Ovis aries: one gene and its partners. The protein of the gene in region 1 interacts with the protein of each later gene in a pairwise test. Links are inferred from orthologs where the notes say so. Each region holds a gene or a part of one and is shown in the gene's direction. Other genes may lie near its edges.

Evidence for each region.
Region 2: the proteins of TUBGCP4 (region 1) and GFAP interact in a two-hybrid assay, tested with the Homo sapiens proteins (2 studies listed by BioGRID and IntAct). The two-hybrid records come from large-scale screens. The link is inferred for Ovis aries from reciprocal best matches to the Homo sapiens genes TUBGCP4 and GFAP.
Region 3: the proteins of TUBGCP4 (region 1) and SDSL interact in a two-hybrid assay, tested with the Homo sapiens proteins (2 studies listed by BioGRID and IntAct). The two-hybrid records come from large-scale screens. The link is inferred for Ovis aries from reciprocal best matches to the Homo sapiens genes TUBGCP4 and SDSL.

The regions. Positions count from the first base shown.
Region 1 is NC_056071.1:52,946,088-52,956,186, forward strand, and holds the start of TUBGCP4 (gamma-tubulin complex component 4), read left to right. Parts: upstream 1-4,447; 5' UTR 4,448-4,712; coding exon 4,713-4,790; intron 4,791-10,099. Other genes in the region: ZSCAN29 (zinc finger and SCAN domain-containing protein 29), read right to left, coding at 1-432, 2,386-2,590, 2,989-3,303. UniProt on the Homo sapiens protein: Component of the gamma-tubulin ring complex (gTuRC) which mediates microtubule nucleation.
Region 2 is NC_056064.1:44,347,828-44,357,765, reverse strand, and holds the end of GFAP (glial fibrillary acidic protein), read left to right. Parts: intron 1-569; coding exon 570-695; intron 696-855; coding exon 856-1,076; intron 1,077-1,856; coding exon 1,857-1,900; intron 1,901-2,254; coding exon 2,255-2,374; intron 2,375-3,615; coding exon 3,616-3,701; intron 3,702-4,312; coding exon 4,313-4,354; 3' UTR 4,355-5,896; downstream 5,897-9,938. Other genes in the region: Ig-like V-type domain-containing protein FAM187A, read right to left, coding at 6,630-7,889; CCDC103 (coiled-coil domain-containing protein 103), read right to left, coding at 9,185-9,616.
Region 3 is NC_056070.1:61,083,966-61,094,064, reverse strand, and holds the start of SDSL (serine dehydratase-like), read left to right. Parts: upstream 1-5,698; 5' UTR 5,699-5,765; intron 5,766-9,935; 5' UTR 9,936-9,956; coding exon 9,957-10,099. UniProt on the Homo sapiens protein: Catalyzes the pyridoxal-phosphate-dependent dehydrative deamination of L-threonine and L-serine to ammonia and alpha-ketobutyrate and pyruvate, respectively. Also exhibits racemase activity towards L-glutamate and D-glutamate.

The DNA.
Region 1 (10,099 bases):
TCTCAGGTGGGTGGCCACTCTTGACTTTTCGATAGTTCTTCTGGAGACCTTTGAACTTGGTCCTACACTGCTCCAGGGTCCGGAGGAACCCAAACTCCCGGAGCCGCTCTGCCACAGCCCCGTACACTTGGCTGTTCCGATGACAGTTTCGGAGAGCCTCATAAAACTCAGGCTGACTGAGAATTGCGAGGAGAGTTCTGGTCTCTTCATGGCCCCAGTGCACACCTGCCACCTTCTCATCTTCAAAGCCCCGGTGATCCTGGTCCACCCAGCTGCTTCTCTCTCTTCTGGACAGTGACAGATCAGCAGGCATTCGTCTGTCTTCTGTGTGACTGCCTCTTGGGAGTTCCTTCTCCTTGGAGCCCAGATCTGGGATCCATGGCTCTCCTTGCTCCAAGCTGGAGACCATGCTGGATTTAGAACATGGAAATCCTGCTTGCAGGGAAGCAAACAAAGGATATCATAGTTTGGAATCATCATAAAAAAGTATCTGAGTTCAGACTTGCTTTTTTTTAATCCAAGAAGCTTATAAAGAAAAGTAAGAAAATGTTTTCAGAAAGATCAGTGGGTTGAAGAATGTGAGGAAAATACATAAAACCTCAAACAATGAGAAATACTTCCCAGAGCAGGGTGACAGAGGAAAGCATCCTCTTGTGTGTTCAGAGCAGATAATTCTGCTCCAAGTTACTGCTTAGCTCTCCAGACTACTTGTATGCAGGTCCTGGCACTGCTGAAAACAGTCACTTCCTGCCTCCTAGAGAGCTGACTCTTCAAAGACAGGGGCGGGGAGGGGGGCTGTTAATCCGAGTAGAGCTCACAGTAGGCCCTCTGTATCCACGTTCCTCCACATCTGTAGACTTAACCAACTACAGTACTGTAGTAATTACTATGAAAAGATAGCTGTGTATAAGTGGACCTGTGCAGTTCAAACTTATGTTGTTCAAGGGTCAGCTGTGGTTCTCTACTTGGGACTAGAGAATTAAACTCAAGAGTGATTGCAAGGAAGAGACTGTCTTCAGCTGTTTCATTTCTCTCACACTCAGTCAGTAACTTCTAGAGGCTTTTCCCTCAGTATATCCTTTATTCCTACTGCCACCATCTAAGTCTGGACCTCTTATTTTCCTTCACCTGGGTTATGCAGCAGTCACTGCTCTACCTAACTCCGGGCTCTTGCTTCATCAGCTCACGTGCTGTTTGTACTGCCAAACCTTAACCTGAGTGCCTGACAGGCACAGCACGTTCAGACCAGACTCCTCTCTCCAGAACGCAGCACACATTCACCACTCTGCCTTGCCTTGCCTTTAACTCCCTCCTTTCCATGCAAATTTAACCCATTAGTGCCCCCCTGAAGCCTTCCATACAGCCCTCCCTCATCTCCTACTCTACCAACCCCTATTGTACTCACACAACTAACAAGTCATGGTTTGGCACTGTCTGAATACAGTTCAATTCACATATTTACGTTAACTCTAATATTCTCAATCATATTGTAGACTCTTTGAGAGGCACCGTTCCTCGTTCCAAGGACCCTGCATGGTGTTGAGCATGTTGGTAGGTGTTCAAAAACAGATCAGTTTTGCAAGTGGGGTTGAGGGACTGCATCTGGATGATTAGACAGAGACCACTACCAGCCTGGCTGAGAAGGCTGGTGTCTGGGATGATAATATCAGAATTCAAAACCACCTCAACAACTTGAAGTGTTCAAGGAAAACAACATACAACATGGAGCTCAGCAGAGCACAAAGAAGAAGAACAAGTCCCACAAAACCAAGTTTAAGAACCAGGCACAAGACAATCAGGAAGAGACCTGGGAGTATCAAGTGAATGATAATCATTAGTTGAGTTATACTGAAAGAAAGTATAATGAAATTCTGAAGTAAAATTCTTAGTCTGCCTCTACCTGCCACACCCTCACTGGAATAATATATATAATTTAATTCTCCACAATTAACATGATGTTTGAAGAATTTTCCAAAGGAGAGTAACAAAAACTTAGTAGGTCTGAAGAATGGAGCTTCTGGGGAAAAGCTTAAAGAAACAAATCTAGTTTAATATGGAGAAAGAAAATGACTAAAGGGAAGATAAGCCAAGTACAGAAAAGAATTTTTATCTAGAAAATTCAGACTTAGTGTCATTACCAGGAGAAAAGAAATTCCAAGTCCTGGTAAAAACTATAGAGAGCCATTCTCTGGCAGACTTATCAAAAGAGGAAGTATAAGAATACTTATTGCAACAGAGAGCTAAGCTACTTGCCTTCAGGAGGTCCCCAACAGCTGCATGCTCCATTTCCACTCATTCCTGAAATCCCTTTCCCACTCACTGCTCCCAACCCTACTTCCCAACTTAGAACGGCATCCTATCTTCCCAGATGAATCTACTCCTCACCGCTCCTTTGAAAAGGTCTGAGCTTCTCCTTTGGGTTCATCTGCTCCTGTGGTCCCAGGTCTGGGCTTCTTGCCCTCTCTTTCTTGGGTACACCCCTGGGCTGGGGTTCCACTGACTCCTGCCGAACACTTAATAACTCTCGTGATGATTTCAGGGGTGCCATCTTCTCCAAGCGCACTTCCTGCCCCTTCACAGAGACTGTGACCTGGAAACAACCCCCATGAATTGTCACTGCAAGGTCATAATGAGGGGTATTCCCAGAGGAGTCTAGTTAATATCCCAAAAGAGATCATCCTTTTGGGACATGGCTAGGGTTGGGGTGGTGGTGGGGGGTTGGTTAATAGAACAAGGGTCTTTCTTACTCCATTACTGTTAGCTTAGAGCAGCTGGAACTCCAGAACAAAATAGTAAACCCAATTCCACACTAAAAAAGAATTCCCCTCTCATTATGTCAAAAAGTTACATTCAGGTGGCATCTCCCAATAAGCTGTCTGAAAAAGTTACCTTTTGTAGGAGCTTCGCTAATAGAGACTGTGCCTTAATTTGGCCTTTTATCTTGCCCCTTCCCAGTCACATACTTCTGAATTCCCCCTCCCTGCTCACCGAATGTCCAGGTCTTCCAGGCTCTCTTTCTAAGTCTTCCACCAGAGTCACTGCCTCCTCTCCACTTTCTGGACATTGCTTTTGTACCCAGTTCTGGATCTCCCCAGGTAGGACGGTCAGGAACTGCTCTAGCACCAACAATTCTACAATCTGCTCCTTGGTGCGCACCTCTGGCCTTAGCCAACGACAGCAGAGTTCCCAGAGTTGGCTGAAAGCCTCCCGGGGCCCAGCCACCTCCTGATAATGAAACTTCCTGAAGCGCTGTCGGAAGGCCTCAGAGTTAGAGCCATTCCCTCTCAGGGTGGGTTTGGCCATGGTTCACAGCAGGAAGCAGCTTCCCTTCACTTAAAGGTCTAGGTTCCAGGGCTTAGGCCCATCTTCCCATGTCCTTGGGGAATCACCTGCAGATGAGTCTGTCTCTGTAAGCAGTTTCCTCCTAGGGCAGAGAGAGATGGCACTATCAGAAGGAATGTATGTCTAGGGTCTTGCCAGAGCTGGCCTGACTGCCCATATGCTCCAAGTGGTCATCTGAGGTAGCACCAGCTTCAGGTCAGGAAGTCAAAACAGCCTGAAGGTGAGAGGCCATTCAAAGGCTGCATCTCTGGCCGACATCCAGGGCAGCCCGGAGAAGCAGCAAAGGATAAAAGTACTGTCTACTCTTCCGCCGCCCCCAAATCTGACCCATTGAGCTCCCCTAACCAGTGAGTTCGAACCATTTGGGAGACCTGGAGCTCGGAAGGTTCTAAAGGCAGGTCACCATTCTGCTGAAGGTAACAAAGCCTCTGTCCAGCGGGTAGCAAGCTGCTCTCCACTGTCCTTCCCCAGGCCCTCACAGCCCGCCCCGCTCCCTGAGACTCCACCACTACCAATTCCCACCCCAAACAAAAATCAAGTACTAAATACTGGGTCTCTGTTTTCCCTCACAGCAGAAGTAAGCGCTCAGTAAACATCCGGGAACTACTGACGGGAAACCTCGCGCATTGAGAGAAGTTGATTTTGGCTCCTGAAGCGAGGTCCGAGTGGGTTTGGGGAGAGTCACACTGAGTTGGTGGAGAGAGGAATTCCGAAGGGGCAGTAGTCATGGGTCTCCTGAGGACGAGTTCGGGTGGTGGGCAGGCGCTCCGAGGGCTGCGAGGTTCGCGAGCGCGGAGCTCAGGTCTAGGAGCGGCGGGTGCGGGGTTCCGGCCTCTTTGTTTTCGTTCCCTCCGGCCAGGTCACTCGGAGCCGTCATGAATCCCTCCGGAGGCCTCCGACCGGACTAAGGCGCCCTGAGAGCACCCTGTGGCCCACACCTGAGAGCTTCTCCCACTCAGGCTATCGCTCAACCCGCTCGCATCTCTGCCCACCGGCCAGCCTCACCCAGTCAGGGTCTGGCTCCAGCCCGGGCTCGCCAGCCTCCCAGTCCAGCTTCCAAACCGGAAGTCCGAGTGGGTGCCTCGGGAGCCAAAGGCGCATGCGCAAGGGCAGCTCCCGCGACTCTTGCGGGGCACCGGCTGCCGCCGGCGAGGGGGCCCAGCCGAGCGCGGCGCACTTCCGGGACGCGGCGCGCCGGCTGCTTTCCGTCCGGTCTCCCCTGCAGTTGTCTCGGCGGGTAAAGTCAGGAGGAACAGTGCGTCCCGGAGACCTGTGCGCGCATAGAGAAGGGAGCGCTCGCCTCCTTGGTCGCCAGCTGAGGCCCTGGAGGAGGGCGCGACGGATATAGGGACTCGAGGTCCGCCGTGGGAATGATCCACGAACTGCTCTTGGCTCTGAGCGGGTACCCAGGGTCCATTTTCACCTGGAACAAGCGGAGTGGCCTCCAGGTACTATCCGGCTCGGAGCGCGGGAACTGGCGAGCTCGGAATGGGTGGACCCGAGCCAGCGCTTGGGAGGAGGAGTCTGAGGGAGCAAGAAGGCGGGGCTGGCAAGGACCAAGGCGTGGGGGGCGTATCCCTGGACGGGTAACCTGAGGGCTGTGCCCTAGGGGCTTACGGATGGTTTAGACACCTGGAGAGGGTTGGGCCTAGGCGGAAAGCGAAGGGTGGATCCCTATTGGTTCTGCCTTAGGGGAGGAGGGAATCCCGGACCAGGCCTAAGGTTGAAAGTGTCTGGGCGAGAGTTGCTAGAGAACTAGATGTAAAACTGAGAGAGGCCCTTTCTCCCATCTTCATGCTTGCACAACGTTTTAAACTGAGTTTTGAAAGCTAGACCAAATACACAGTGCCTAATATACAAACAGTTCAGTTCAGTCGCTCAGTCATGTCCGACTCTTTGCGACCCCATGAATCGCAGCACGCCAGGCCTCCCTGTTCATCACCATCTCCCGGAATTCACTCAGACTCACGTCCATCGAGTCCGTGATACCATCCAGCCATCACATCCTCGGTCGTCCCCTTCTCCTCCTGCCCCCAATCCCTCCCAGCATCAGAGTCTTTTCCAATGAGTCAACTCTTCGCATGAGGTGGCCAAAGTACTGGAGTTTCAGCTTTAGCATCATTCCTTCCAAAGAAATCCCAGGGTTGATCTCCTTCAGAATGGACTGGTTGGATCTCCTTGCAGTCCAAGGGACTCTCAAGAGTCTTCTCCAACACCACAGTTCAAAAGCATCAATTCTTCGGCGCTCAGCCTTCTTCACAGTCCAACTCTCACATCCATACATGACCACAGGAAAAACCATAGCCTTGACTAGACGGACCTTAGTCAGCAAAGTAATGTCTCTGCTTTTGAATATACTATCTAGGTTGCTCATAACTTTTCTTCCAAGGAGTAAGTATCTTTTAATTTCATGGCTGCAGTCACCATCCGCAGTGATTTTGGAGCCCCAAAAAAATAAAGTCTGACACTGTTTCCACTGTTTCCCCATCTATTTCCCATGAAGTGATGGGACCAGATGCCATGATCTTCGTTTTCTGAATGTTGAGCTTTAAGCCAACTTTTTCACTCTCCTCTTTCACTTTCATCAAGAGGCTTTTTAGCTCCTCTTCACTTTCTGCCGTAAGAGTGGTGTCATCTGCATATCGGAAGTTATTGATATTTCTCCTGGCAATCTTGATTCCAGCTTGTGTTTCTTCCAGCCCAGCGTTTCTCATGATGTACTCTGCATATAACTTAAATAAGCAGGGTGACAATATACAGCCTTGACATATTACTTTTCCTATTTGGAACCAGTCTGTTGTTCCATGTCCAGTTCTAACTGTTGCTTCCTGACCTGCATACGGATTTCTCAGGAGGCAGGTCAGGTGGTCTGGTATTCCCATCTCTTTCAGAATTTTCCACAGTTTATTGTGATCCACACAATCAAAGGCTTTGGCATAGTCAATAAAGCAGAAATAGATGTTTTTTTCTGGAACTCTCTTGCTTTTTCCATGATCCAGCGGATGTTGGCAATTTGATCTCTGGTTCCTCTGCCTTTTCTAAAACCAGCTTGAACATCAGGGAGTTCGCGGTGCACGTATTGCTGAAGCCTGGCTTGGAGAATTTTGAGCATTACTTTACTAGCATGTGAGATGAGTGCAATTGTGCGGTAGTTTGAGCATTCTTTGCATTACCTTTCTTTGGAATAGGAATGAAAACTGACCTTTTCCAGTCCTATGGCCACTGCTGAGTTTTCCAAATTTGCTGGCATATTGAGTGCAGCACTTTCACAGCATCATCTTTCAGGATTTGAAACAGCTCAACTGGAATGCCATCACCTCCACTAGCTTTGTTTGCAGTGATGCTTTCTAAGGCCCACTTGACTTCACATTCCAAGATGTCTGGCTCTAGATTAGTGATCACATCATCATGATTATCTGGGTCGTGAAGATCTTTTTGTATAGTTCTTCCGTGTATTCTTGCCACCTCTTCTTAATATCTTCTGCTTCTGTTAGGTCCATATCATTTCTGTCCTTTATCGAGCCCATCTTTGCATGAAATGTTCCCTTGGTATCTCTAATTTTCTTGAAGAGATTTCTAGTCTTTCCCATTCTATTGTTTTCCTCTATTTCTTTGCATTGATCGCTGCAGAAGGCTTTCTTGCCTCTCCTTGCTATTCTTTGGAACTCTGCATTCAGATGCTTATATCTTTCCTTTTCTCCTTTGCTTTTCGCCTCTCTTCTTTTCACAGCTATTTGTAAGGCCTCCCTAGACAGTCATTTTGCTTTTTTGCATTTCTTTTCCATGGGGATGGTCTTGATCCCTGTCTCCTGTACAATGTCACGAACCTCATTCCATAGTTCATCAGGCACTCTATCAGATCTAGGCCCTTAAATCTATTTCTCACTTCCACTGTATAACCTTAAGGGATTTGATTTAGGTCATACCTGAATGGTCTAGCGGTTTTCCCTACTTTCAGTTTAAGTCTGAATTTGGCAATAAGGAGTTCATGATCTGAGCCACATTCAGCTCTTGGTCTTGTTTTTGTTGACTGTACAGGGCTTCTCCATCTTTGGCTGCATAGAATATAATCAGTCTGATTTCGGTGTTAACCATCTGGTGATGTCCATAAGTAGAGTCTTCTCTTGTGTTGTTGGAAGAGGGTGTTTGCTATGACCAGTGCATTTTCTTGGCAAAACTCTATTAGTCTTTGCCCTGCTTCATTCCGCATTCCAAGGCCAAATTTGCCTGTTACTCCAGGTGTTTCTTGACTTCCTACTTTTGCATTCCAGTCCCCTATAATGAAAAGGACATCTTTTTTGGGTGTTAGTTCTAAAAGGTCTTACAGGTCTTCATAAAACCGTTCAACTTCAGCTTCTTCAGCGTTACTGGTTGGTATAGACTTGGATAACTGTGATATTGAGTGGTTTGCCTTGGAGACGAACAGAGATCATTCTGTCGTTTTGAGATTGCATCCAAGTACTGCATTTCGGACTCTTTTGTTGACCATGATGGCTACTCCATTTCTTCTGAGGGATTCCTGCCTGCAGTAGTAGATGTAATGGTCATCTGAGTTAAATTCACCCATTCCAGTCCATTTTAGTTCGCTGATTCCTAGAATGTTGACGTTCACTCTTGCCATCTCTTGGCCAATTTGCCTTGATTCATGGACCTGACGCTCCAGGTTCCTATGCAATATTGCTCTTTATAGCATCGGATCTTGCTTCTATCACCAGTCACATCCACAACTGGGTATTGTTTTTGCTTTGGCTCCATCCCTTCGTTCTTTCTGGAGTTATTTCTCCACTGATCTCCAGTAGCATATTGGGCACCTAATGACCTGGGGAGTTCCTCTTTCAGTATCCTATCATTTTGCCTTTTCATACTGTTCATGGGGTTCTCAAGGCAGGAATACTGAAGTGGCTTGCCATTCCCTTCTCCAGTGGAACACGCTCTGTCAGACCTCTCCACCATGACCTGCCCGTCTTGGGTTGCCCCGCAGGCATGGCAATACACAATATGGAGAAGGAAATGGCAACCCACTCCAGTATTCTTGCCTGGAGAATCCCGTGGATGGAGACTGGTAGGCTGCAGTCCATGGGGTCGTAGAGTCTGGCACGACTGAGACTTCATTTTCACTTTACAATAAGGATTCAGCCAGTTTTGTTGAATGAAAAAGTGGGTGTTTTCCTTATTATTCCTTGCCGGAAAATTTTCTGCACTCAGAGAAGTTGGAGCAGGGAGGCCTTTCGTGTATCCAGGGATGTTCAAGGGGACTATGTATATACTCTATATATGGTTTACCTGTATGCTTTGATCTTCACAACCACCTATCTCCATATCAGAGATTAATTCCCAGCGTCAGGGATTAATAGAGAATAATAAGTTTAGGGTCTTGAACCCAGGTCTGTCTGACTTCAGTGTTTGAACCACTCTTTTCTACTTCTGCTTCCAGTAATATTATCTAATCATTTCCATAACTTAGTAACTTATGTATTGTTGGCCCCAGTTTACAAAAGAGCAAACTGGAGCTCAGAGGACTTTATGGTGGCTAGTCTTAAAAAGGCAAGATTTGAATCTAGCTCTGTCTGATCACAAAGTCATGCCTGTTTGTATGAGAATCGGTAGTATGAGCTGTGGAGGAGCAGAAGAATTACATTCTTGGTTTTTACAACTTATAAATCAAACAGATTCCTCTTATTATTTCTTTGCACCTGTAAAATTAGCACAGTGCCAGGCATGTAGGAGGAAAAGGCTCAGGAAGCGATTGCGTGCGCTCGACTATGAGGCAGAAAGAGACAACAGGAGATGGGAGCAGTAGCTGTGTTTCTGTTTTTCTTATAAAAAGCCTCATTTGGATATTTTCCTCTTTAAGTTCTCAGTTTTAAAGTTACCGTCTAAGAAAAACTTTAACCACCTCTTTAAGTATACTTCTAATGCCTTTATTTTCCATCACAGCAACTTATTTCCCTTAGAGGACATCATAATTCATATGATTGATTGTTGTTACCTACACGTATAGTCTTTCTCTCACATAGGTTGCCGATGGGGGCAAAGGCCCCAGTGGTCTTCACAGATGTTGCAGAAGCACCTATCAGTTTCTGCCACATACTGGTATTAAGATATTTGTGAGGGACTTCCCTGATGGTCCATGCAGGGAGCCTGGGTTCAATCCATGGTCAGGGAACTGTATCCCACATGCCACAACTAAGAGTTTGCATGTCGAAGCTAAGATCCAGCACAGCCAAATACATTTTTTTTTAATTAAAAAGACACTTACGAAAGAAAAAATTGTACCCAAACCAGCAAATATTGCATACTTTCTTCAAACAGTGTTTTTCACATTTGGATTAAGGGTAAAATTGTCATGAATGTTCTGTGTTGATAAAAATAATTTTATTGTAATATAGAATATGTACACACATGAAGCTAAGTATAAACTCAAGCATATTGTTCTTGAACAACTGTAAACCCAATTATTTTTACAAAGTAAATAATGCTACCAAATTGATAAATTCACATTGACAATCTGACGCAGCCTCTCAGTGTTGGCACTGTTGACATTTTGGACTGGATAATTCTTTGTTGTGGGGACTGTCCTGTGCGTTATAGAGTGTTCAGCAGCATCTGTGATCTGTACTCACTAGATGCCGATAAGGACCCCTGGCAACCAAAAATACCTCCAGACATTACCCTATCCCTTGGGGGCAAAATTGCCCCAATTGAGAACCATTGAGCTAATGCAGCATATACTTTTTTGTTTTGCTAAACCTAAATT
Region 2 (9,938 bases), on another chromosome or scaffold:
GAGAAAGGGCATTCAGGAAGGGCATGCAGGACACAGCCTGAGTAGAGGCCATAAAGCACAGAAAAGTGGGGGCCCGGAGATCCTGGCCCAGGGCATGGAGCTGAGGAGTGTAAGTGGCAGAAGTCAGGGATGGTTCTGAGCAGGTTAAGGCGTGATGGAACCATGAGGGATTCAGAGCAGGCTGAAGGAGAGAGGGTTATTAGAACCTGGTCTCTGCTCACCAGAGCTCCCTGTGTGTGACCTAGGAGGACAGGATTCAGTCCCGAGGATGGAGCTACTGGAGAGTCTGGGCTCTGTGACACCCTCTGCTCATTCACGCGTTCCCTCATCAGGCACTGAGCTAGATGCTAGAGAAGTAGCAATGTCGTCTGTGTCTGTGTCCATGGGCCACGGGTGACTGTGAATAATCCCACCCAGTGCCAGTGGCGTGGGGTGGGCTGGAAAACAGCCGTACCGTCCGGCCCATCTCCCTGATCCTCCAGACCGCGTACCAACCCCCCGAGCCCACTAAGCTCCCGCGATATGCGGCCCCAGACCGCCTTCCAGCATAAAGCCCTCTCCTCATCTAGTTCGCGGACCTGAACGACGCCGCCGCCCGCAACGCGGAGCTGCTCCGCCAGGCCAAGCATGAGGCCAACGACTACCGACGGCAGCTGCAGGCCTTGACCTGCGACCTGGAGTCCTTGCGCGGCACGGTGAGCAGGGGCGGGGCCGCAGGCGGAGGAGGGGTACGGGTGAGCGAGCCGGGAACCTGGGACCTACAGCCCTAGCAGACGCTGAAGGACTGGCTCGGGGCGGAGCTCTGAAAAGTTTCTTGGGGCGGGGCCTCGGGGAACGGTCCGGCTCCACCCACAGAACGAGTCCCTGGAGCGGCAGATGCGCGAGCAAGAGGAGCGCCACGCGCGGGAGGCGGCGAGTTACCAGGAGGCGCTGGCCCGGCTGGAGGAAGAGGGGCAGAGCCTCAAGGACGAGATGGCGCGCCACCTGCAGGAATACCAGGATCTGCTCAACGTCAAACTGGCCCTGGACATCGAGATCGCCACCTACAGGAAGCTGCTGGAGGGCGAGGAGAACCGGTGAGCCCAGACCGGCCGCCTGCCCTACTGCCCCGCCCCAGAGTCGCCTTGCTCCCTTCACGAATACATGTGTGCTCGGACATGTCCAACTCTTTGCGACTCCCATAGATGGTAGCCCGTCAGGCTCCTATATCCATGGGATTTCCCAGGCAAGAATACTGGAGTGAGTTGCCATTTCCTTCTCCAGCGGGTCTTCCCGACCCAGGGATAGAACCCACGTCTCTTTGTGTCTCCTGCTTTGGCAGGTGTGTTCTTTACCACTGCGCCATCTGGGAAGCCCCATCAGGGACTGTCTTATTCAGCCTCGTGACCAGCCCCCTCCTATCCCAGCGCCCAGCACAGTGCTCACCTAACACACAGTTGGTATTCATAAATGCCTGATGAATGAATGGATGGATTCAATTCAGCCCATGTTGATCAGATCCTAGGGTAAGGACTTGGGTTATCTTCCAAACTAAAAGGCTCACTCCCCACCCTCCCAACAAAGACTGGACTTCTTTTCTGCTGACCAATCTCCTCTGCCTCCTGGGAACTCTCTTCACTGCTCTCCCCTCCCCTCTGTCATCCTCAGAGCACTCACTCTCTTTTGAGTGGAGGTGTTCCCCCAGAGCTCTTACAGCGCGGGGAGTGTGTTGGCTGCTGGAGAAGCTAAGAGATGGAGGTCCGCCTTTCCTGGCAAGGAAGAGGGCCTCGAAGCTATTATGGTGACCTTGGACCAGGATCTGGCCTGGGAGTGTCCTCTGGCAGGCTGGTCACCCCTCTCCTTCTGCTGTCTTTCAGCATCACCATTCCTGTTCAGACCTTCTCCAACCTGCAGATCCGAGGTCAGTAGAACAGGGTTTTGTGGGCAGAGTGTTGGATTCCCGCCCCCTTCCCCAGGCCTGTGGGTTGCTCTTCTGGTCTGAGCCCGAGGACCAGGGCAGAGGGGCCCAGTGCTCTCTGTGGGGACCTTCAATATTCATGGCAGAACTTCCAGCCAGAACACACCATTCCAGAGCATTCCAGGTGGGGCTTGCAGCCACTCCTGTCCTGCTCTGCCCTTTGTCCCTCCTCCCATGCCTACTCCCCATTCCACTGCAGAACTGAGTGAGGGTCTTAACCTCTCACCTGTCTGCAGATCCCTGTCCAGCTGAGTGTTTGATGTTTGTGTGTTTTTTTTTAACTGCTTGTCACTACAGGGGGCAAAAGCACCAAAGAAGGGGAAAGTCACAAGGTCACAAGACATCTCAAAAGCCTCACAATACAAGTTATACCAATTCAGGCTCACCAGGTTGTAGATGGAGCCCCGCCGGCTCTCGGTTAGCTGCCTGCCTTTTAGACATGGTGCTTTTTTCACCTTAATAGGGAGCAAGCTCACCAAGCCCACTTTCCCCATCTTCTTGAGCTCCCTCCTCCCAGGTTTCCCTAAAGGGCCAACCCTGTGTCATTTCCCCAGCAATCTCAGCGCCCAGTCCAGGACCTGGCACAGGGTAAATGTACATTAAAGTAGTAGAGTTGGCCAGTGTTCAAGGTGCTAAGTCCTCGGGTACTCAGCTCAGATGCTCTGGGCCTCTGAGCAAACACCAGCTTCTGCCTCACCTCTTCCCCATCACCAGGAGGGCCCCTAGAGTCTCACGGTGCCTGGCAGCCAGGCTCTTGGCCTGATTCCTCTGTCCCCGAGGCTCGGTTGTTCAGCTCAGGGCTGATTCAGCCCAGAGGATTATTTCCCTCTAGACTGCTGCTCTTGGAGTGAATAAAGTTTTATGTCCCCTGCTCTTAATATTAAACATTAGTGAGTGTGACATGTTACATTTTTCTCTCTGCAGGGGGGAATAAATTGCTTCTTACTTGTATGTGGCCCTCAAATAATTCTCAGCTGAGGGAAAAAATAATTCTTCTGGACTAGAAATTTAGGAACACTAGCTATGCATGTCCGAGGGCTTAGTTCAGTATCAGAAGAGTTAACCAGCAGACCAGGTAGAGGCAATACTGCCACATGCCAGACAGAAAAGGGTCCTAGAGAAGTGGCAGAGAGAGGCAGGAAAAGGGAAGAGGGACGGGAGAGGGACCCATGTGTACGGAACATGAATACGTGCCCATTGTTTTACACACATTGTTTCAGTTAACTCACTACTTCGACCTAGAGAAGTAGGCAGCAGTATCCCCATTTTGCAGATGAGGACACTGAGGTTGGAAGAGGTAAATTAACTTACCCACAGTCATGTGGCTGAGCTGGGACTCGAGCTCTGGCCTGCCTGACTTCAGTAACCACATGCTCTTTCCTTGGTGTGATACTGGGTTGTCAGGGAGCCAGGGGCCAAGTGAGGAACTGCAGAGGGGCTGAAATGCAGCCAGGCCAGGACAGCAAGCAGGGAAGTGAGGGCTTGCTTGGCACTGTGGGGACTTAGGAGGTTGCCAGCCCCTCTGGGAGAGCCTAGGACTTCTCTGGTTGGATAGGCTTTTGTACTCACGATTAGGGGTCTCAGGGGGAAACCAAGGGTGGGAGAGGATGTCTAGGGCCCTGAGAGCCTATGGAGGCCTCCTCTCCTCATGTCTGCAGAAACCAGCCTGGACACCAAGTCCGTGTCAGAAGGCCACCTCAAGAGGAACATTGTGGTGAAGACCGTGGAGATGCGGGATGGAGAGGTGAGGAGGGCAGGCCCAAGATTCTGGCCCCAGCAGGCTCTGGGAGAAAGCCTGGACTGGCATATAGAAGGTTCTCCATAACTCCCAAGAGTTCCTCTGGGAGGCTCTGGAAGAGGGGAAGGAGCCCAGATATAATTCCATTCCCCAGTCCCTACACTAAGGGGAGCCTAGATGCTTAGGCCACAGGTCAGGGTCCTGACTCTGGCTTTCTTTCTCCCTTTCTCACCCTCAGACTCAGGTGCCCCCACAGCAGGCCTGGGGGAGACAGAATGAAAATTAAATTTAGTAACTTTCACTCCCAACGTTCAACTTTCAGCTTGGTGAAAGGGACCTGGCAGAAGAATGGGAAGAGGAGATTGGGCATATCCCCTCCCCACCGTACCAGCAGAATTAGCTAATCTTACAACAGCAGCTCAGCATGTGCCAGGCAGATGTTTGCCAGATGTTTGACAGGATTAGCTCGTTTCCCCCTCTGCTGCGTGGCGGCATTCTGGTTACTATCATAGAAAAGTTGAAAGGCTGGGAACTTGTCCCAGGTCACATTGCCTAGCCATGGTGGACCTGGAGTCTGTGTGAGCTCCTAACTATGGCACCTTCTCTGTCCCCTTCAGGTCATTAAGGAGTCCAAGCAGGAGCACAAGGATGTGATGTGAGCAGGACCCATCTGGCGGTCACTGCCCCACCGTTTGAGGCGTCTGCAGCAGGAGTCGGGGTAGCTGTCTCTTCTCTGCTAGTTAATTTCCCCAGAATTGAGTTCCCACCCAATCCAGTTGCTCCTCTTCCTGCTCCATCTCTATGCCAGCTTGCCACCCTAGGCTCCATCAGCATTAAGCCTGTCAGACAGCACCCACCCCACACCCAGCAACACTAACAGGGCACTCACCCCAAAGGGCAGCCTGGAGGGGCACGGCCAGCAGCTTGGGTTAGAATTGGGAGGGAGGAGAGAAAGCGGGGAGACCTCATAAATCACCCTGCCCTCTGTATCGCGAACCTCTGTTGTCATGGCAACTGTTGCCAGAGCTGGAGGTATCTGGGGGTATCTGGGAATGGGGCCTTTGGGCTGCTGGAGGAAAACTGAGAGTCTGAGACAAGCAGAGGAAGTCCCCAAGGCAAGGTGGCCTTGGCCAGAGGCTTATTCTTCTAGACTGACTCTGACCAGTCTGAGGGTGGGTGGGGCTATCCTGCCAACTGGGAGAGTCAGCAGACAGAATTCCTGGCCTGCTCAGATTGCAGAGGGGCCTCCTGAGCAATGTGTCGAGTGTCTCAGCCCCACTGAGCTGCCACGTGGGCATGCCGTGGGCCCGTGGGAGCTTGATTCTCCATGCTTGGGGGAAGTATAGTGTAAGTGCAGAGGAAAGGGGTGCTGGGAGGGAGTAGAAGGGGGCGTTGCCCATTGCTGTGGGTACAGAGAGGTCAAGCCCAGGAGGACTCTGATACAGGCTGGAGTGGGCAGGTAGAGATGGTGGGGGCAGTGCTTGGGATGATGCTAGACATCAGAGTGGGGGTCGTGGGTAAGCAGTTACACTTGGCCTTTGGGTTGTGGAAATCAAGAAAGTGAGTCATCCTCTTGAAGATGCTGACACAGGAAAGGAAGAGGCTGCTGTTCATGGGAGTGGGGCCTGCTTTGTCCCAGCTCTCAAGGACCTTTCCTTGCTGTGTAAACCTTGTCCACCCAGGCCTGTGAGCCCCTGCAACTGCCACCTGACCCCAGGAAACACTGCTAGGCGAAGCCTCTGTTGTGACCCAACGTCCTCTCCCCACAGTGATCACTGCTCTTCCCTAAACCAAGGCCCCTATAGCCCCCTCTTAGTCAAATACAAAACATACCCCCCCCTCCATGTTTTAGGTAGCAGTTTATTTTATGATTTGGAACCCGAGGCCCATGCAGAGTGAAGACACTGGTTTGTGTTCCTGCAGCCTGGAGGCAGGAAAGCTTGGGGCAGACACTTTCACCCTGAGCACCTGTTCTGCTGTTCACAGGGAGACTGATGGGCATGAGATGATCAGTGCCCACAAGTGGGGCTCCGAAGCCCACCCCAGGGTCCCCATCTCCCTCCAAGTCAGAGGGACTTGACTGCATACCCTTCCCCTACTCCCTCGTGCCACCCACTGCTGCTAACCTTCAGGGCATTGCCACGAGCTTTAGTCACTGACATAAATGCAACAAATAAAGACGACTGCTGTGGCCTTCCCCAGAGTGGACTCTGATCTGTTCAGCGGAGGCTGAGGCTGGGGCAGAGGACAGTAAGTAGCCTCAGGCAAGACACAACTTGCTTCTTATCACTGATCGTCTTGGGGCCCCCAGCATCCCCAGAAGTGGCCACATGACAAATCCTGCCTCCAACCCTGCTCTGCTCTCCAGCCCTGGTGCCCCACACACCCACTGCCTTTGCTTCTGGCTCCTCACCTCCGGCCCCAGGCTGGGTGCCATCTCTCAGGAAAGCCCTGAATTCAGTCTCCACTTTCCTCACCCATTTCTCCTGTCCTGGTCTCTACCTTTATTCTCAAACTCACCATTTCTACCTGCTGGTTCCGGGATGAGGCTGGGAAAGAAGGCAAAGAGGATATATATACTAGGTACCCCAACTCTTTTCTTCCTCTCTCTGCTACCTTCAGTTCAAACAGCACCCACTTGGCAATCCATGAAGGCAAGAAAATAAAGCACATCAAACACAGTCAACACCAGATAGATGATAAATATTAGGTTCACTTCTTCCTTCTCTGAGCATTAAGTCAGAAGACGTGTACTCCGACTACTTCCATCCTGGACTCAGTTCCCCATCTCCCACCTGCTCAGGCTTCCCTGCTTCCCAGATGAGGTTCTAGACTTGCTCACGAAAATGGGGGGCAGGTTCGCATGCCCCACCCCCAACCGGAGGCATCTGGTACCATTTAACAAACACATTTGAGCACAGCTGGTCTTCAGAGCTAGGGGAGAGAGAGCCTAGGGGAGAAGTTGGGACAAAAACGGAATAAGTAACAGCAGCAACGACAAAGGTGAATGCTGATGAAGATGACCGTGATAAGCATGTAGCCTATCAGAATGAGCCCCAGGGCGGCTCGAGTCTCGGGGTCGGAGAAGGAGACCGGATAGCGACCTGGAGATGTCACACCCAGTCGGAACCCAGCAATGCGATCGCCCTGCCTCCAGCAATAGTAGATGCCCCGGTCTTCCAGCTGGGTGAAGCGGATGTGGAGATGGTTGCCGTGGTCGATGAACACCCTCATGGATCCATTGACGCCCTTCAGGTACTGCGTGCGGTAGAGGTACTGGTGGTCCTTGTCCCAGGCCACGGCGTGCTCTGGCCGGGCTCCGGGGCAGGAGATGATGAGTCCATGGCCCAGTCTCTGCTGGTGGAACTGAATGGGCACCTGGGGCAACCAGGGCCGACTGCCCACTTTGGACACATAGTTGAAGATGGCCATCACGCCCTCCTGGACCTTCTTCTTCTTCTCGCAGGGCATCAGGCAGCTCCGAACCAGCAGCTCGGGGTTGTGGTTGCTGGCCTTGGCCCGGAGCTGCCTGGGCACAGCCCTCGAACCACAAGACACCACGTTGGGCAGTATCTTGCGGTAGCGGGGAGAGAGGTCCGGGCTCTGCAGGTAGCACAGACCGATACGCCACTGCTCCCCGCGCACCCCGCAGCGGTCGCAGGGGGTCCACTCCCAGAAGGTGGTGAAGACGCGGAGGCTCCCGTGGTACTCGTCTTCCAAGGGCTCCTGGCCCTGGTCCTTGAAGGTAGCCACCATCCCCTCACTGCTCTGGATGTCCACGTCGTAGGCGTAAAAGTAGTCCCCCTTGCGGGTGCCGCAGAAATACAAGCCGGAATCCTCCGGCTGCGCCCGGAAGACCAAGAGGCTGAACATGCGGATGCTGAAGCGGACCAGCATGTCGCTGCCCACGCGCACCTGGGCTGCCTCCGTCAGCACCCGCCCATCGAAGTCCGTCAGCACTTTGGTGTGGCTGCTGCCCAGGTGCTTCTGATAGTACCAGACGACAGCGGACACCTCCTCCGGCTTGCAGGGGCAGGGGAGCTCGAAGCTCATGTCGGCCAGGTAGGCCGCGTTGTCAAACATCAGGAAAGCTGGGCAGGGGGTCCTCTGAAAGATGTTCTCTTTCTCCACTATTTCAAAGGCCTGGAGGCTCCCCCACGCCCACAGGAGCACAGTGGTGTGGGCCAGGTTCATGCCTGCGCAAGGGAAGGGTCAGAGGGGGCAGGGCAAACCCGAGGCACTAAAGGCCTATGGGGCTTCTAGAAATCACTGCTAGGAGGAGGCATCTACATGAGGAAAGGTTTAAGCAGCCAGGAAAAGAAGCAACAGTCTGCAGAGGAAGCTGCCATAGGCAAGGCAATTGATTCCTAGTTAACATACAAGATGCCCTTCTCATGTTCCAGATGTGCTCTTGAGGAGAAAACCATTCTAGAATCTGGCTCCCTCTCCCCTTTCTAGAACTCTAGCATTCTAGAACAGTGGGTCAGGGGAAGCCAGGAGGAGAAACAAGGGCCCAGGTACAAGTTCGGGAAAATCTCTGCCCTTCTGCTTCAGGCTCTGCCCTGCCTGCGGGCCTGGTTGCAAACATCTTTCCTTTGGATAATCTGAGGGTTGAAGGAAACCCTCCCACCTGCACATCTGGCCATCTGAATATACCTGGGAGGCTGGCCAGGCCTGAGCTGAAGGCTTGGGGCTTTCTCAGGCCCAACCTTCATGGGAACTCAGCCCCTGGAGAAAAATAGTCCACTTCAAATGAGGTAGCATTTGATCATTTATTGACTAAATGTCCATTCGTTGGTTTCTGGTGACGAATACTCTTGTTTAAGGGCTATGGAGGATGAACTAGGAGATTGGGATTGACCGTATGTACACTTCTATGTATAAAATAGATAACTAATGCAAACCTACTGTGTACCACAGGGAACTCTACTCAATGCTCTGTGGTCACCTAAATGGGAAGGACATCAAAAAAGAAGATATATAGATAGATAGATAAATAGATAGATATACGTATAAATGATTCACTTTACTATACTGAAGAAACTAACAACATTTAAGGCAACTATACTCCAATAAAAATCAACTTTAAAAAAAGACCTATGGAGATCAGTATTTGTTAACCATGGAGGATTAACAATTTTGTTTTTTCCTTGTTTTGAGCGGAGGCTGCAATGGGTGGTACCAGTGTTTCGTTGGGTGCTCACCCATATCTCAGGGCCATGGGCTAGCAGACTGGCAGACTCTAAGGGTGGGAAGCAAAAGTCTTTCAGCTTGGCCCTTGACCATCCTGTAGATCTACAAAGTTCAGAATATGAAGCCCCCAAGGGGCTGGGGGAAAAGTGAAAATTCAGTTCCTGCTTTGGTTGTGAAAATTCTAAATCCAAATGGGAATCAGGTGTGGGTTTCTGATTAGAGTCCTGCAGAGTCCCCCCAAAAATCAAAAAATGCCTCTGATGACCACTGGGGGCCTCTGAAGGTAAATGGTCCCATCAGCCCAGGTGGTATAGCATCAGCAGCTCTTGCAGCAGACCTTCCTCCTCCTGAAGCCCACCCAGCTGCTCCCCCAGACCCTGCCCCTCCGGACTGGGGGTGCCCATGGCCTGCAACTTCTGAAACAAGGCTCTGCAGCTCTCTCTCTCTGCATGGCTCATCAGGCTCAGGTTCAGGGTGAAGCGCCCAGTGCTGGCCAGGCTGTGCAGGATCCCCAGCACTGCCCAGCGGTCAGCAGGCCTCACATGATCGGCCAGTGCCACCAGCATCTCTCCTAGAAGTCCAAACCCCACGTCCATCTGGAAGAGGCGGCTCAGCTTCGGGCCCCCGAGCTGCAGCAGTGCCTCGTAGCGCTCTGGCCCGCTGCGCAAGTGTCGCCGCCAGTCACGGTAGAACTCGGCTGAGGTCTCAGGCTGGAAGAGCGTTTTCTCCTGGACCACAAAGGAAAGGAAAGAGAGTCCAGAGCTCTTCCAGCTGCGCTGTGACAGCAAGGGGAACCCATGGGTTTTCAGCTCTGGTATTGGTCTCTGAGCATTGGCAAGGTCGCAGTCCCTGTGGGCCTCATTTTCAGATGAAGGAACAGGGGATGGGATGGGGAGGGAGGGTCCCAAGAGGAAAAAATGCAGGCCACGATGTGAGATTCTTAGCTGTACCAAGACTTTCCTACTGATGAGTATGGACATAGCCCTGTTTTACAAGTGTAAGTCAGACTACACTCTGAGCAGGGTGGGGGTGGGAGGTATTTGGAAACTT
Region 3 (10,099 bases), on another chromosome or scaffold:
TGGTGACTGCAGCCATGAAATTAAAAGACCCTCTTGCCAGGGTCCAGCCCTGGTGGATCCAGGGTGATTCGAAGGTGGGGATGGAGTCGGCGTCCTGGAAAAACTCATTTAATTACAGATATAGAGGGAGATTAGAAACAGATAGTGTAGTAGGAGAATTAGTGGAGAAAAGAGGCTGAATAACTGGTTTACATGGAATACCAATCACCACCTACGTAGGCCACAGGCTTCTTTCCATTCTGCCAAAGGAGAAGAGGCACTGAGTCCTCCCCGGTCCAATCTCAGAAGCCCAGGCGGAATTAGCAGGCTTGCTGAGTACCCACATTTCAGATGGGAATTCAGCCAGGAAAACGGGGAGCGAGAAAGAAACAACACGGGGGAATCAGTCTTTCCAGAAACTGATCTGATTTCTTTATTTTTCAGGTTTGTTTATATACCTTTTTGTTACACATAGGGATAAATACAGAGTCACACGGGGGTCAGCAGACCTGACCCTTGTCACAGTTAGGTGCTTCATATAAAATTATACAAAGGTGTTAAGAGTTTCATCATCTTTTAGCCATGAGGTCTGCTGACATTTTATGGCTCTTTCTGATACCGGTCAGTTAACCAGAAAACTTATTTTTCCAGGGGTGATTTTTTCTTAAATCAGGCGCCACCCTCCAAATAAAGTTGCATTCCTATAGGGTGAGGGTGTAGTGAGTTACAATCAAGAAAGGAATTTACTTAACCTAAGGTTTAACATGATTAATCTTTAAGGTTAATACTTATTTCTCCTATATGCTAGTTATATTCATTATAAGGGCAGGAATATGGAGATTTAGCAGCAAATATTGGCTCAACAAATGTAAACCCTTCACCAATGTTCCCCTTAAGATCTATTTTGTCTTAAGATAGTGACAAAGTTACATTTTTGCATAGCAAGGACACAGTGATTTATAACAAAGTACAGTGGTCTATAATAAAAGAGAAAATTCATTAACTCAAAAAGTCTAGTATTGCTAACATCAAAAAACTACTATATTTCCTTTTCTATATTCCAAATACATTGATTAATATATTCCCAGGTGCCTAAGGATATGGAGGCCTGATGGCAATCATTGACTCATCAATGAAAAAACCCCTATGCTAATACTCCAAAGTCTCTGTGCTGTTTATGGCTGAGAGGCTGTCACACAAGCTAGTCTGTCAGCAGAAAGGTTTGACCTGAGACATCCTTGTCACACCCAGGGCAGGGAATTAGCAGTAATTATTGGCAGGACAAATGAAAAAACCCTTCACCAATATAATTCCTAATCAGCCTACTAATACTATACTAATGATCTTCTAACTTCTCAAAAGAGTCTGTATTTAGAAAGTTTTAAAACATCCCATGCCTCTCAAAGTTGGGAGGCTGTAAACAATCACATGCGGCTGGACGAGCCTGATCAGGCAGGCCAGAGAACCTCCAGAGTTCGTAAGTTGAATCACTCTTATCACGCCCAGGAATTTTTATTAACTGGAGCTGCAAGTTAACTCCTTCTCTGAGAGAAATGGTTATAGGGGAGAGCTTCCCATAAAGTACTCTGGTTTTGGGGGTAGATGCTCTGGAACAGGGGGTTTCCTGAGGCTTGATCACACCTTTGCGTATGCCAAGCTTCCTTCCTCATGACCTTTGCCATGGGCAGAGTTCTTCACGCTGGCTCCCAACACCATCTTTCCTTGGAAGAAAAGCTATGACAAAACTAGACAGCATATTGAAAAGCAGAGACATTGCTTTGCCAACAAATGTCAAAGTTATGGTTTTTCCAGTAGTCATGTATGTGAGCTGGACCATAATGAAGGCTGAGCACCGAAAAACCGATGCCGTCAAATCGCTGGAGAAGACTCTTGAGAGTCCCTTGGACTGCAAGGAGATCAAACCAGTCAATCCTAAAAGAACTCAACGTTGAATATTCATTGGAAGGACTGTCATTGAAGCTGAAGCTCCCATACTCTGGCCACCTGATTCGAAGAGCCAACTCATAAGAAAAGACCCTGATGCTGGGAAAGACTGAGGTTGGGAGGAGAAGGGGATAACAGAGGATCAGATGGTTGGATGACTGCCGGGAGCCAGCGTGAGGAATCCCGCCCGTGGCAAAGGTCATGAGGAAGGAAGCCTGACAAAACGCAAGGGCGTGATCAGGCTTCAGGGGTTCCCCCTGGAATTTCCTGAGCATCCACCCCAAAAAACCAGAGTCTGCCTGCTTTACTGTGTTATGCTTTCCACCTACTCTACTGACATTAACAGGGGGCTGTCCCCCCACCGCCTTTTTCTGGAAAAATTTAATTTAGAGCTTTTAGATAATAAGTCTCCTGGGCATAATAAGAGTGTTTCAATCCAAAGACCTCTCTGATGGCTGTCTAGCCTGCCTGCTGGACTCTTACAGCTGCACGGACCGCGAGAGACCCAGGAAGCTTAAAACATCCTAGGAATGTAGGGGCTTCTGAGGAGTCAAAATCATTAGAATAGGACTGATTAAAGGTTTCATTTGTTGACCCAATACTTGCTGCCAAATTTCCATATCTTTTATTTGTAGATATAGTTGGTGTATAGGAAAAACAGATAGTGGCCCTGGCATTAGCAACATTAGATCTTTGAGGTAAGTACTTTCTTTGTTATAACCCACTGCACCTTTGTTCTACATGAATGTAACTTTATTTAGTACTTTGAGGGTGATGCAGAGTAAAGAAAAAACACTTCTAAGGAAAGAGAGATTTCTGGTTGAAAGACATTTATCTAGGAAGAGAGCCATAAAAATGTTAACAGGCCTCTTGGCCAGAAGATAATGTAAACCACCTGAGATCTTTTGAATACAGGAAGGTATGCAAAAAGAAAGCCTGGTCTCAGTGAGGGTCAGGACTGCTGCCCCTGCATAATTCTGCATATTCCATTATTTGTTTATGTACAACTTGGGGTATATAAGCTGATTTTAAAAATAAAGTCTTGAGTCTTGCACCGATGCTGGGCTCCCCCATGTCATTCTTTTCTCCCCCTTTCCGCCTGAATTCCCATCTGGAGTGCGGAGGCTCACCAAGTCTACTTACTTGCCCTGGCTTCTAAGATCCATGTGAGAGGGAGCCCAAGGTGGGGCACCCTCCGCTATTCAAGTGGACGCCGGTGGCCTAACGTAGATGGTGCAAACCTCTTGTCTCGAGGTTTTATTAGTTTTCCGCGTAAACCAAGTTATTCAGCCTCTTTTTCTCCACTAATATTTCCTACTACACTATCAATTTCTAATCTTTATATATATCTGTAGTTAAATAAGTTTTTTCCTAGGACACCGACTCCGTCCCCACTTCGAATTCCCTGGATCCACTGGGGCTGGACCCCGGCAGATGACATCACCAACTCGATGGACATGTGTTGGAGCAAACTCTAGGAGACAGTGAAGGACAGGGAAGGACGTGGGTGCTGGCGTCCACGGCGTCCGTGGGGTCTCAAAGAGTCGGGCGTGGCTTAGCAACTGAACAATAACAACGCTTGTGAAAACAGGGCACAGAGAAATTAAGCAACTTACCCAAAGTTGCACAACCAGTAAGTGCGAAGCTGGTATTTGTACTAGAGTCTGGCTTCAAGGTCTGTGTTCTAATTGTTATTGCCTCTTCATGCCAGAAACTTACTGCTACTACTTCGTAGTTTTTAAAACAACAAACTCCATTTTAAAACTTTAATACCTGTCTTAGCTTCTTTCTAAGCGATAATATCCATAAAATTCTGGATATTATCTTATGCACACACACACAGAGGACATAAATACTCAACTCTTAAAATAAAATTTGAGAGGGAACTAAGACCCCACATGCTGCAGGGCAACTAAGCCCTTACACGCAACTAGAAAGTCCACACACGCAGATGAAGAGGCAGTGGAGCCAAACAAACAAATAAAACAAACAAAAGCCTATGGGAATCTCTTGTCAACACAGAAGGGCTGGCATACAGTGGGCCTACAGTGAATGTGGCTGTCATGCTTCTTGTCTGAGCATGTAGGCTAAGGCCCCCCTCCTCCAGGGAGTCCTCCCTGATCACACCCCACCCTCAGCTGCCCTTTGGGGACCTTCTGTTCTATGTCCTCTTAGGGGATGTTAGGGTTGTCACTGAATTGGTATCTTCCTCTCCCCTCAGGCTGGGGGCCACTTCAGGGCATAAATTAGGTTTTACCACCTCCGTGTCCCCAGTTCCCCTTCCAGGACAGGACATCTGACAAGGATGGCGTGTGCTTAGTGTGAGGAGGCAATGAAATTGCTAAAGTCATTCTCAAGAATCATGACCAAGCAATTCACTTTGACCCCCAAGGGCCTGGGAGTTAATCATCAAATCCGGGGACGTCACACTCAGGCCAAGAAGGGCCCAGACCATCTGGGCTGCTACGTGCTTCCTGGACCTCACATCCAGTCTGACATATAGGGGAACTAAACCTTCCCGCCGCCCGCCTACGCCATGGACGTGACCAGCTCAGAATCACCCAGTGAGATGCTGATAGAGACAAGACAGGAATCTGATCCTGTCATTCCCCTGTCTAAGGCAGGGCCCCGGGTGAGGTCCACACCCTGCACTGGTAGGGGCATCCTGTGGGCTCTGGTCTGTGCCCGCCTCTCCAGCCGCAGACACACTTCCTCTCCTGCCTTTTCCGTACCAGCCCTACTGCGCACATCTGTTCCTGGAACATCCCATTTTGTCAGTTCCTGACCTTTGCTTTCTGTGTTGCTGACTCCTGGTTTCCCTCAGTCTCCTCCTCCACGAGGCCTTCCCAGCCTCCAGGGGCCAGGCGAGGTACCTGCTCTGGGCACCCACAGCCCTGGCCCTCCCCACTTCCTGCCAACATCTGACAGCTGATCACAGCTGCTCTTCAGTGGCCCTTGGGGCTTACTTATTTTGTTTGGTTGCATCGGGTCTTAGCTGCCTTATGCGAATCTTTGGTTTTCGCCCAAGGCCTCTCTAATTGTGGCACACTGGCTCCAGAGTGTGCAGACTTAGTAGCTGCAATGAGGCAACTACTTACTTCCCTGATCAGGATCGAACCCACGTCCCCTGCATGGCAAGGCAGATTCTTTACCACTGGGCCACCAGGGAAGTCCCCCTTTGGGGCTTCTTGAGGGCAGGGGACATGCTGTCTTGTTTGAGGCTAATGGTCCCAGGGCTTGATCTAGGGTCGGTGCCCGATAAATATTCTTGGAATGAATGAATCGATTGTCAGAGTTATTCATTTGAACAATAAATAATTGTTTGAGTCCCAGTGTTGGGCATAAAATATCAGAGATGAGGAGGAACTTCAGAAGGAAATATGCCTTTCTCATGAGACAGATAATAATTGTTTCTTTATCCTTGTTTTCTCTTCTCAGACCTAAGCTGACCTTGACAGTGGTCCAGGGGAAGTGGCTTGGCATTTGGGACAAGCACTGGATTTGGAGGTGTCTATGTCACAGTAGAGGTGATCCAGAGGGAGGGGTAAAGGGTGACCCTTGCTGGCTGGGTGGCCTTGGCCAAGTGAATTCCCATTTCTGGGCCTCAGTTTTTTTTAATCTGTAAAATGGGGCCAGGTCATCACATGTCTGGGACAGCAAACCGAGAAGCAGTGAAGGCTGATCTTGTCCCCTTTTTCCTCCAGTGGAGAGCTATCCCTTTAACCACGAGGGGAGGGGCCAAGGCCACAGGAGGCTGCAGGGAGTTGGCACAGCTGGTGCTCAGGAAGGCCGGTGGGCAGCGGACTGGCCCTGAGCTGGTCTGAGAACTGTTGGGAAGGAAGGTAAGTGGGTCTGGGCCCAAGTAGGGCCCTGGGACTCGGTGTGCATTTGTGAATGTGAGTAGAGGTTTGTTTGGAAGGTTCTGGAGCCAAGTCCCAGCTGGCTGGACAGAAAGTGGGAGAGTGAGGCTGTCCGAAGTCCTCCCATAGGCTCAGCTCTGGGTGCCTGTGGCCTGTCTGCCTTGCAGCAGAAGGCTGGGGGCCCAGGACCTGGAAGATTGGGGAGCCCACCCTGGCTCCAGGGTGGTAGGGCTGGGCATTCTGGCAACTAAGAGGTGCTGAGGTTCCCAACCCTGGCGTCAACAATTTGGCTGCAGAGTGTCACCCGGGTGGCCTCTGGAGAAAAGCTGAAGGACGAAGAAAGTGGAAAAGGCAGTTAGCTGGTCTTTATCCAAATCCATAGATGTAGCAGGTGCCCTCATGGGCGTCTGGGCTTGATAAGGCTGTTGGCAACTTGGGACTCATTCATTTAACTGATGCCTGCTGTTCTTTTCTGGGCAGTCTAACCAAGAGGGCTGAGGAGCCTGAGGACTGAGCCAGCAGCATTTGCTTTTAAAGACAACCGGTGGTCAAGTGCTAAATGCTCACATCTTTCATCATAATGATAATGCTACTATAAAAGAGAAAGTACAGCATGGTGGGGAAGGGCACAGATGCCAACTTGTACTGCCTGACTTGGAGTCCTGGCCATGCCATTTCTAGCTGTGCGACCTTCGGCTGGTTATTAATACTTAACCTCTCTGAGCCTCAGTTTCATTGTCTATAAAGTGGAGTTAATAATTGAACCTATCTCAGGGTTGTTGTAATTATTATAAGGTGCTTGACATGGTGCCTGGCTCACAGTAATTCCCACATAACTATTAGCTGTTATTGTGCGTGAGGCAGAGTTGATGTCTTTACTATTTAACGTAAGACCTCGCTTAATCCTCACAGTGGTCCTGTGATGCCCAAGTTCTTCTCCCAGTTTGTTGTGTGGTTAGTTCATTCTCATTTTTTTAGGTCTCAGGTTTAAAAAATTTTTTTAAAATTAATTTATTTATTTGGATGCACCGGGTCTTAGTTGCAACATGTGGGATCTTCATTATCCCCTTATAAGACTATAAAGTTCCCTCCAAGAGTAGATGTCTGTCTTATTCACCATGATACCCCCCGGTTCCTAGGTCCGGGCTTTGTAAACATTCTAGAGTAAGGATGAGCATATTGGCATCGTTAGAAGACCCCAGGGAAATGACACCTCCAAAAGACTCAGCCAATTTCTGGCACATAATAGGAACTCAACAAAGAATATCTGTTATTATTATTGCACTGGGCTGCTCGGTCATATCTGACTCTTTGTGACCCCATGGACTGTAGCCTGCCAGGCCCCTCTGTTCATGGGATTCTTCAGGCAAGAATACTGGAGTGGTTAAATCTGCACTCTAACCTGTGAGTTGGGATGTTATTATTCCCATTTTAGAAGGGAAAACAGGCACAGAGAGGTTGAGACACTTGCCTGTGTCACACAGCCAGGAAGTCATAGCTAGTTTCTAACTTTTCCCTCTGATTCACCCCAAAACTCAAATTCTTGGGCTCTGGAGCCAAGGTGAAGCCAGGGCTGGGCCTGCTGGATTTGGGTGGCCCAGCGGCTGCTCTCCCCTAATGCCATGAATTTTCCCGGATGGAGCTGGGTGGAAGTGTTTCAGGCTTTTCTCTGCCTGGGGAATCTCAGGGCCATCCCAGCAAGGACTCCGAGTCAAATTCAGGGATCAGAGACCTGGAACCCTCTGATGTGGGGAGCCCAGTCCTGACTTAGTAAGTGTGGACTAGAAGCTTTGAGCTGGTGGTAGCTGATGGAGGTTGATGCGCTCCCCCTAGTGGCAAGTAGTGGAACTGCAAGGGCGGCCCAACTCGTTTCCCTCTCAAAGGAAAAACAGCGTTTACTCCTTAAAAAAACAAAACAAAATAAACAAACAAAAAACCCCTTATACTCTCCCTCCCTTCTAATTTCCTCCCTCTCTGCTTCTTGCCCTTTCACACTGGTTCATTCACTCACTCACTCACTCGCAGCTTAGCTTCAAATCTCCCAGCGGCTTCCCATAGCAAGCAGAAATAGAATAATATCCCAACTCCTCACTGTGGGCTGGAACGCCCTTCCCAACATCCCTGCTCACCTCTCCTTGTTTAGTCCCTCGGTCTTGCCCAACTCTCTGTGACCCCTTGGACAGTAGCACACCAGGCTTCCCTGTCCTTCATTATCTCCTAGAGTTTGCTCAAACTCACATCCATTGAGTTGGTGATGCCATCCAACCATCTCATCCTCTGTCTCCCCCTTCTTCTTCTGACTTCAATCTTTCCCAGCATCAGGGTCTTCTCTAATGTGTCGGCTCTTCGCATCAGGTGGCTAAAGTATTGGAGCTTCAGCTTCAGTCCTTCAGTTGAATATTCAGGGCTGATTTCCTTTAGGATCAACTGGCTTGATCTCCTTGCAGTCCAAAGGATTCCTCAAGACTCTTTTCCAGCACCACAATTTGAAAGCATCAATGCTTTGGTGCTCAGCCTTCTTTAGAGTCCAGTTCTCACAAGACTAAGCACCTTTTTTGCTTGACTAATACTCTCACCTCTACCCAGTCCCTTGTCTCATCAGCGCCTGGAACACTCCAAGTTCATCTCCCTCAAGCGGTGGCTCCATCTGCTGTTCCCTCTGCAGGAATGCTTTTCCCTTGCTTCTCTTCTTGTTCATCTCAGTTTCCCCTTTGTTGTTGTTTACTTGCTAAGTCATGTCTGACTCCACGATCCCATGGTCTGTAGCCCGCCAGGCTCCTCTGTCCATGGCATTTCCCAGGCAAGAATACTGGAGTGGGTTGCCATTTCCTTCTCCAGGGGATATTCCTGACCCAGGGATTGAACCCACGTCTCCTGCATTAGCAGGCGGATTCTTTACCACTGAGCCACCAGGGAAGCCCTCCCCTTTTGAGAAGCTGCAGATCAAAAGAAAATTAAATTATCTCTCGACCAACCAAAATGCACAGCTCCCTTCTGCAACCCGATTCAAACTGTTAAAACCTTAACTATCACCATCTGCAAAACCAACTGTTAATCACATTTAGTGAGACGATTGGAATTTTGAACACTTAGCAAATATTTGATGTTGTTAAGAAATGATTGTTAATATTTTTAGATGTGATAATGGTATTGTGATTACATTTTTAAAAATGAACATCACTGAGGTCTAATTTCCATGAAATAAAATTAGCTTACTCAAGGTTAGAATTTGAAGAGTTTGGACAAATGTATACTGCTCTGAAACTGTGGCTACAATGTTTAAAAAGAGTTCTTTAATTTTATAGCTACATGCTGAAATATTTCCAGATCAAATAATATGGGAGGAAAATATAATGATAAAGGTGGAAAAAATAATAATATGGGGAGGAGGAGGGGTACAGATATGGAACAAACAAGCCAGGCATGAGCTGATGACTGTTGAAGCTGAGTGGCGGCTGCATCAGATGGTTCTTGACACTTTTGCTGTGTTTAAATTTTCCATAGTACAAGGTTTTAATTTTTTTCCCCTGAGGTATACGGGCTTTTTGTTTGCCAACCAGTGGTAGAATCTCTGTCCCCTACATTGGAAGTGCAGAGTCCCACCAGTGAAGTCCCCTTAATGCAAAAAAATCTTTTTTAAGTTTCTTTCCTGGGAGAGAGTCTTTCCTGACTACCCTCGATAAAATAGTGCCTTCCCCACTAGGTCATTCCAGGTTGCAATTCTTTGATTCTCTCTCCCCAACTAAAACGTGGGGCTGCCTCTGACCTGTCCACTCCTGGGTCCCTAACCCTGAAAATGCCTGGCAGACGGTAGGTGCTCGGGAATGTCTTTTTTTTTTTTTTTTTTGAATCAATGAATGATGACTGCATAAAATCTCATGCATTCATCACCGCTATTGGCCATGTTCTCCATTCTTGCGCTGTAGCATCCACATTAACCGAAGAAAAGTGCCCTTAGTACAAATCTCCTTGACTGGATGGTCAAACTGAGGCCCAGAGAGGTGCCGACACTTGCCTGGAGCCTCACAGCTTGGCAGCCACCGGGGATGAAGGGAGCCAAGCCAGGGGGCTTCTCCCTCCCCCTCCCCGGTCCTAGTTAGAGGGACTCTGGGCGGGAGCCGCCTGGGCTGTGACGCTCCTGCCCTACTGCAGGCCCTCCAGGTTGTTGCCGAGATGAAGAGCCCCCTGGAGGAATGTGCCGAGGGTGAGCCCTTCCACGTCGTCACGCCTCTGCTGGAGAGCTGGGCGCTGTCCCAGGTGGCCGGCATGCCTGTCTTCCTCAAGTATGAGAATGTGCAGCCGACGGGCTCCTTCAA